2 linked regions of the Xenopus tropicalis genome follow. The protein of the gene in region 2 binds, or shares a complex with, the protein of the main gene of each other region. Links are inferred from orthologs where the notes say so. Each region holds a gene or a part of one and is shown on either strand. Other genes may lie near its edges. The genes, in order: kbtbd8 and cul3.

The links.
Region 1: cul3 (region 2) and kbtbd8 share a complex: the UniProt entries of both Homo sapiens proteins name them as parts of the BCR(KBTBD8) E3 ubiquitin ligase complex. The link is inferred for Xenopus tropicalis from reciprocal best matches to the Homo sapiens genes CUL3 and KBTBD8.

The regions. Positions count from the first base shown.
Region 1 is NC_030680.2:143,295,558-143,299,934, forward strand, and holds the start of kbtbd8 (kelch repeat and BTB domain-containing protein 8), read right to left. Parts: upstream 3,077-4,377; 5' UTR 3,022-3,076; coding exon 3,006-3,021; intron 2,947-3,005; exon of another isoform or gene 2,864-2,946; intron 578-2,863; coding exon 479-577; intron 1-478. UniProt on the Homo sapiens protein: Substrate-specific adapter of a BCR (BTB-CUL3-RBX1) E3 ubiquitin ligase complex that acts as a regulator of neural crest specification.
Region 2 is NC_030681.2:123,808,601-123,812,420, forward strand, and holds part of cul3 (cullin-3), read left to right. Parts: intron 1-1,074; coding exon 1,075-1,251; intron 1,252-3,084; coding exon 3,085-3,255; intron 3,256-3,820. UniProt on the Homo sapiens protein: Core component of multiple cullin-RING-based BCR (BTB-CUL3-RBX1) E3 ubiquitin-protein ligase complexes which mediate the ubiquitination and subsequent proteasomal degradation of target proteins.

The sequences.
Region 1 (4,377 bases), on a different chromosome or scaffold from region 2:
AAGCAGATCTTTTTCCAATTTGACCACACAAGTGTTTGGCAAGACTGGCTGGATCCAATCATTTGGCCCACAGGCCAGTAATGAGCTTACACAGGAGGCCCATGGAGTCTCATTAGGATAAAACTGCATTTAAAGCTCAATGTGATCCTTGCCCAAGATGAATATCCAAGCCTTTCTCCCCCACAAAGTGAGGGAGGCCATTATTTTGGCACCCTTTCATGGCCAAATAAACTGCCAATTTGGCAGGAGCGGCAGCTAAAATTGACCCATTTAAATTAAGCAATACTGCTAGTACACCAGTGAGATTATTTCAACTTTCATAGGTATGGGCAAACTAAGATCTGGCCCACAGAAATTCAGTGTCAAAAGGGACCCACTGGGACTAAAGCAAGGAAAGGGATATATCTGTGAAAGTCATACAGATAAGACTACAGGACAATAGCCTTGGAAATCAAAGAGGAAAGAAGAGGAAGCATACCAGTGGAAGCTGTAGAGGAAGGTGTCTGCGCCATATTCATGGGAGCGATAGGTAAGGGTGATGTATGAAGTAAAGGATTCAGAGCCATAGCCAGGGAAACTGCAGAACAAAGAAAGAAGAGACAGAGCTATACCTACGGGAACTGAACACAATAAACTGCACAGAGACACTTCCTTGGGTGTTTCAGATCAAAGAAAGAGAAGAGAGGGCAGAGGCCACCCAAGTGAAGGCCAAATCAGGCAGATTTGATTGTTTAGCCCTGGGCTAGAAATCAGGTACAATGCAGGCTCACTGGAAGAGGACTAAGGAATTCCTTAAGGTGGCCATACACAGGCAGATTTGGGTTCTTCAGACCGATTCGGCAGTTTATCTGCGCATGTATAAAGGACTCCTGACGATCTTATGTTTTCTGGCTGAGAGACGGCCAGATGTCGATGTTGTTGTAATTTGAGTGGATCTTAATGTGTATGGCCACCTTAACATGCCCAACAGAGATTTGGCCAAATTTTATCTGTCAGGAAAGCAGTCGGGAGAAACCAATAAACTTGGTCCGGAAGATATCCATTTTCATACAAATTGAACACCTTGTAGAGATCAACGGAATATTGTCACGTTGTCATTGTGCTCTGTAGATCTATAAACCAGAAACAACCTCAAACTTATTCGGACCCCTTGTCCCAGAGCATATCATCCTTCTAATAAGTCACTTACCACAAAAATTAAAATTCCACCCAAACGCCCTTATTTGCACTAATGATACCAGCAGACTGTGGAAGTTGAGGTTCATTAACAAGATGTACATGTTGCTAGTAATTGGTATAAGATCCTGCACATTGTATCCAAGTATAATAATTAAACCCTTATGTAAAGGGATACGTGGAACCAGAATCCTACATGGGGTATAAAGTTCAACTTATGATTTTTACCCAGTCTGCTATATCTAGGAGGCATGTGTCCTATAGTGTAAACACTGAGGATTCTGAATTAGCATAGTGATGTATGGGTGTGACTTACTAAAATGCACCACTGCAGTTGCCTGTAGCAAGTAAAAAGATCAGAAGAGAAAGTGTCAAAATCATCTGTAGGAAACAGGAGGTGTGGGAAGTCCAGAAGGGTGCCAAAATAATGCCCTGTGAATGGCAACAAGTATGTAACAATAATGCCATAGGAAAGAGGCTTGTAAATTGGGCATATAATGTTCAGGAATCACACCCTGCGAATGGGGGGGGTGTAGGCAACCGTGCCCTGGGGGGGGGGGGGGGGGGTGTAGGCAACCGTGCCCTGGGGGGGGGGGGGGGTGTAGGCAACCGTGCCCTGGGGGGGGGGGGCTGTAGGCAACCGTGCCCTGGGGGGGGGGGTGTAGGCAACCGTGCCCTGGGGGGGGGGGGGTGTAGGCAACCGTGCCCTGGGGGGGGGTGTAGGCAACCGTGCCCTGGGGGGGGGGGGGTGTAGGCAAACCGTGCCCTGGGGGGGGGGTGTAGGCAACCGTGCCCTGGGGGGGGGGGGGGTGTAGGCAACCGTGCCCTGGGGGGGGGGGGTGTAGGCAACCGTGCCCTGGGGGGGGGGGGTGTAGGCAACCGTGCCCTGGGGGGGGGGGTGTAGGCAACCGTGCCCTGGGGGGGGGGGGTGTAGGCAACCGTGCCCTGGGGGGGGGGGGTGTAGGCAACCGTGCCCTGGGGGGGGGGGGTGTAGGCAAACCGTGCCCTGGGGGGGGGGGTGTAGGCAACCGTGCCCTGGGGGGGGGGTGTAGGCAACCGTGCCCTGGGGGGGGGGTGTAGGCAACCGTGCCCTAGCGGGTAGGCAACCGTGCCCTAGCGGGTAGGCAACCGTGCCCTAGCGGGTAGGCAACCGTGCCCTAGCGGGTAGGCAACCGTGCCCTAGCGGGTAGGCAACCGTGCCCTAGCGGGTAGGCAACCGTGCCCTAGCGGGTAGGCAACCGTGCCCTAGCGGGTAGGCAACCGTGCCCTAGCGGGTAGGCAACCGTGCCCTAGCGGGTAGGCAACCGTGCCCTTGCGGGTAGGCAACCGTGCCCTTGCGGGTAGGCAACCGTGCCCTAGCGGGTAGGCAACCGTGCCCTAGGATTAAAGTATGAAATGCCCTTATAATCATGTGCTAGAGATTAGGTACATGATACATAAATCCAAAGGGAGCACCATAACCCACAGAGAGGACCCAGAGAGCCAACAAAGCCCAGGGCACCATTCCATGCACTCAAAGCATTAATAGCTGGGAGCCCACAGACTCACAAGGGCCCGCTTGTATAAAGCCCAATAGCAGATACCTGCTTTATAATTGTCACTGGCTAAACCCGCTGGCTAAGCCCCCAGGGAAAGTGAAGTTCAGCAAAAGCCACAGGTTGCAAAGCCCTTGAGTGTAAATACTTACCCCCCACCTCCTGAATTACTCAGTGCCCCCCTCCATTAATCAAGCGGCAAGTCCCACAGCCTATAGGAGAAAAGCTTTCCCCTCAAAACCAACTACAAATACCCAAAGCGGAGCCGGCCTCTCCCAGCCCCAAACAACCCACCTCCCTGTGCAGCCATTCTCCTCCTCCTCCTCCTCCGGCTCCAGCCTGTGCAGGAAACGTCACTTACTTCCTTTGGGGAACCCGGATGTTGCTTATCGGCCAATCACAGCTGCCGGAGTCTGTTCCTGCCGCGTTTCTATTGGACGGGCCGCCGCGAAGCACGTCGGTAGTTGTTGTTGTTGTCTGGGGCAAGCCGGGTGAAGAGTGGGCGGGGCGTTACTCTGCGTGACGTGTCACAGGCGCGCAGGGCATGCTGGGAGAAGGTACGGCCTGAGAGGCAGCTGCGGGGCAAGTTTGTGTTATTAGCGGCGCCTGAAGGGAGGAGCTAGGAGTTATTGGGTGTCACAAGGGGAGGGGCCTGGTGTAGTACAAGATACATAGCAACTTAGCATTTGGACTCTTTCAGTAATGCGAGTCTCTATGTTTGCCCAGTAGCAGTAACGCCTAGCAACCTATTCAGTTGTTTTAAACAGTTGACCAGTGAATTCTACCTGCTGGTTGGTTGCTATGGGTTACTGCTCCTTGTGTCTTTTTATTGCATAACCCAATTTTTGCCCTTTGAAATATCCCAACTGTATGGAAGTGTTTAAGAGCTTTTATGGTCAGAAATTAAAGAAACTAATGCCAAAATCAATGGAGGGTGCCAATGTGTTAGGCTCATCTATAAAGAAATAGACAAACCAGGGGTAGTGGCTGCGTGGCACTGCCACCTTGTTCCTGCCTCTTGGATATACTTGTGTGCAGAACGTCAGAGATTTGTGTAAAGGTATGGGATCCCTTATCCAGAAACCCATTATCCAGAAAGCTCCGAATTATGGAAAGCCTGTCTCCCATAGACTCCATTTTAATCAAATAATTCTAATTTTTAAAAATTGATTTTCTTTTTCGCTTTAATAATAAAACAGTACCTGTACTTGATCCCAACTAAGATATAATTACCCCTTATTTGGGGCAGAACAGCCCTATTGGGTTTATTTAATGGTTAAATGATTCCCTTTTCTCTGTAATAATAAAACAGTACCTGTACTTGATCCCAACTAAAATATAATTACCCCTTATTGGGGGCAGAACAGCCCTATTGGGTTTATTTAATGGTTAAATGATTCCCTTTTCTCTGTAATAATAAAACAGTACCTGTACTTGATCCCAACTAAGATATAATTACCCCTTATTGGGGGCAGAACAGCCCTATTGGGTTTATTTCATGGTTAAATGATTCCCTTTTCTCTGTAATAATAAAACAGTACCTGTACTTGATCCCAACTAAGATATAATTACCCCTTATTGGGGGACAGAACAGCCCTATTGGGTTTATTTAATGGTTAAATGATTCCCTTTTCTCTGTAATAATAAAACAGTACCTGTACTTGAT
Region 2 (3,820 bases):
TTTAGAGTTTTAGAACAGAATATTGCAACCTTAAAGCATTTGTCAGTCTAATGAAGGCATAGAAAGTTGTCACTTGAGAACTTGAATCCCAGAATCCATAACTTTGCAATAAAACAAGGTGCAGGAGGGGGATGCAAGGCACAAAGGGTCATTTACATCCACAAGAGCAGTGAGCAAAGAGCACTTTTGAGCATGGTTGACATGTTTTTCCCAGAATTCAAGCGTCATTGCTGTTGCAGGGGGTTGTTGCATTTGGTGCGAATGCGATGGATTTACAATTGATTCACTAACATTACCGCTACTGCACATGCATTTTGTTGGAAATTGGATGCAATAGTGCTGAAGTCCATCTAGTGTCATTTCTGCACCCAGTTCTTTAGGCACAAGTGCCCTGAGCCTGTTGACACTTGGAGCTAAAGGAACCCTGGAGTTACCGCCTGGTAAGGAGGTGGGTGGCAGCTCCAGAAGGCAGGAAGAACTGATTGGCGTTGTGTGCAACTACACAGGAATGCAAAGCGCACATTTTAATTTATGTACCTTGGGGTTTAATGCGCAACTGATTATGGGAAAATTGCAGGAGCGCAACTGTGCTTGTAAATGACCCCTACTGTCTGGGTAATGGTTTATACAAGACTATTATTTTTTCCGTTGCTTCTGTGAAATAGGAAATCTGAAAAAACACCTTTTTAACGAGCGGGAATTTTGTGCTCATAGTAAGTTATACATTTTGGCTTGGTCCCCTGGATAATAATGGGGTATGACCATGTGAATAGGCAAAAAATCATGTGTTTATTCATGTTTTCTAAATGTCTGCTTCTCTAAAAACATGCCAGATTTCTCAGGATTTATGCTGACATCTGCCAGTGGTGTTTTGCTATGAGCCCCAGGAGATACTTTTACAAAATGCGGCAAAAATGTCTTAAACTGGTTATGCTGCTTGTGCAATAGTTTTGTTTGCCTGGCATATCAGATAATTAAAGCAGTGAAGGGAACCACTTTTATTTGAAATTGTGATATAAATGGCAAACATAAGTGTAATTTATGAACATAAACATTCTCAACTGTATTTTTCAGGGGCTTCTTGACTTGAAGAGCCGGTTTGATCGCTTCCTCCAAGAATCTTTCAGTAATGACCGTCTTTTTAAACAAACCATTGCTGGAGACTTTGAGTATTTCCTCAATCTCAACTCCAGATCCCCAGAGTACCTCTCCTTATTTATTGATGACAAACTGAAAAAAGGAGTTAAAGGAGTAAGTACTGCATCCAGTGTGCAAGTAATTTTACATTATACTTGGTTACTCACCTTTTATTTTCTGTTTTTAATCCATATGCCTATTTAAGACTATCATTCAGGGTTTTGAAAAAATGAGCTTTAAAATTAAGCAGGCCTTTACTCATCGGCGTATGGTTTCACAAGAAGCTGCTTTAGGGACATAAATCTGCCCTGCAGAAATGGCAGAAATAAAAGGATACCAACATCATTTTGAAATTTCTTCTTTGCCTGTCCTAGGACCCAATATCTAAGTAATGGCCCTTTTTAAAAATGTTTTCCCCAAAATCGTACAATTTCTGTGGCTACAGAAGCACACAATTTTTAATCCAGCGGTCCCCAACCTTTTACACCAGTGATCCACATTTAAACCTAAAAAAGTAATTGAAAGCCACATAAAGGTAGAAAAAGTTCCAAAGGATTGCCCAATAAGTTCTGTGATTGGCTGTTGCTTTGTCACTTGTGGGCTACCTATAGTAGCCTCTGATTAGCTGTAGACTTGTTTCTTTGTGCATTTCAACAGGATAAATTCTTCTGTTCAAGGTAGGGCAAAAAGAAATATATGCTGTGAGGCCTTTAGGAGTAACATGAAATAGGGTGCCGAGCATCATGGTGCTTGTCTAGCTTAACCCAACTGCCTAAGAAGTATTAATGAAGTTATTTTGGGTTAGCAGAAATTTCATAACGGTGTAGGTATCCTACCCTGGGGCTTGCCCCACTGTCTCATTTGATTAAAGGTGCGGTTCACCTTTAATTCTTGGGCCGATTCACTAAAGGTTGATAACACATATCGCATAGTTTTTTTTTTGTTAAAAAGCATGCAGTAATTAAGTACCGATTCATCAAAGTCATTTCACATGCGTTAATCCGCATATCGTATGTGCAAAAAACCGCATCATCGCAAAGCGTTATTTCTAACTTATTGCGTTAATTAACTAATAAAAATAGTACTAACGCATGATTCAAAAACACATATGAAGCGTTAAATGCACAAAATATCGAGTTAATCTGTGCAAAGATTAACACCTACTTGGGGCAGGCGGTACTTAAAGAAAATTGCTGTTCGTGAGCTTTTGGCAGCTCAACATGGAGTTTGCAGTCGTATTTTTTCAAGTATGTTTTGGCCCTAGAGTGATGCATCCTGCAGTTTTCATCGCTTCTTAATTATGACAAGTGTCCTTTTAGTGAATTGATCGTTATCAATAAGAATTGATAAAATTTTTAACGCATGCTATAAATAGCACTCGTTTTATGGACCTTTAGTGAATCTGCCCCTTAGTGTGTTATAGAATGGCTGATTCAAAGCAAATTTTCAATTGTTTTTTTTATTTGACTCCCAACTGTGACTCTTTACAGGAGATTGACCCCAGCAGCTGTTAGCTTTTTATTACTTATTTTTCTCTTATTTTTCTAGGCCCTCTTCTATTCATATACCAGTCTCTATTAAACCACTCCCTAGTTGCTGCAGTAATTTGAACCCTAGTAACTAGATAACTACTGAAATTATAAATTGGAAAGCTGCTGAACAAAAAGTTAAATAATGAAAAAGCCACAAATAAAAAATGACCAATTGTAGATTCTCTCCGGATACTACTCTCTACATCATAGTTAAAGTTAACTCAAAGGTGAACAACCAGTTTAATTGTGCTAACACAATAACCAGTGGCATCAATACTTGTTACAGCATGGCTACAGAATGGACAGAGCTCTGTCTTTTATTTGTGCACATCTTCATGTTACAGCCCGTAATAGGTATATTAAGATGCATTTATTTAAATCACCATGCTTATGATTTCTTTGTCTTTCTTTTAAGCTAACAGAACAGGAAGTAGAGTCAATTTTGGACAAGGCAATGGTTCTCTTTAGATTCATGCAAGAGAAAGATGTGTTTGAGCGTTACTATAAACAACATTTGGCCAGAAGGCTCCTCACCAACAAGAGTGTTTCTGATGACTCTGAAAAAAATATGATTTCAAAGTTAAAGGTAGGTTGGGAATTTTTTTTTTCCTCATGTAAAATTCCTTCATACAAAAACTCAAAAAAAAAAAAAAAAAAAAAAAAGTTGAATTGTAAGGCTATAGAACAGAAACAACAACAAAAAAAAACCCACAAAAATAATTGAAAATGTTCATTGACTCTATATTGGAAAGGCTCTGTCTGTGTCAGATTTGAATTTTAAACTCTCAAGACCTGTGGCGTGTCTTGTTTTGACTGTGCAATTAATTATATATAAAGCTTAATTCAAGCTCAACAAAAAGAAATGTGATTAAGTTTATGTATTGGGCTTCTGCCGTGCTCAGTACCTCTACAGCACTTTAGCAGTGAAAATACATGCTTCAAAGCACCTAAGGCAGCAGCAGTCCCAGATGTACCCTTACTGATTCTCATTCCAGCAATTCCCTTGGTTCCCCCAGCAGGTCTAAACATGTAATTAAGGAACTTGATACTATATACTGTTTTTGGTAGCAATTGTGTTTACAGATAACCTTTGAAATCATTACACATTTATAAATAATGTATATTGGGAAGTTGCTTAAAATTATTGTGTC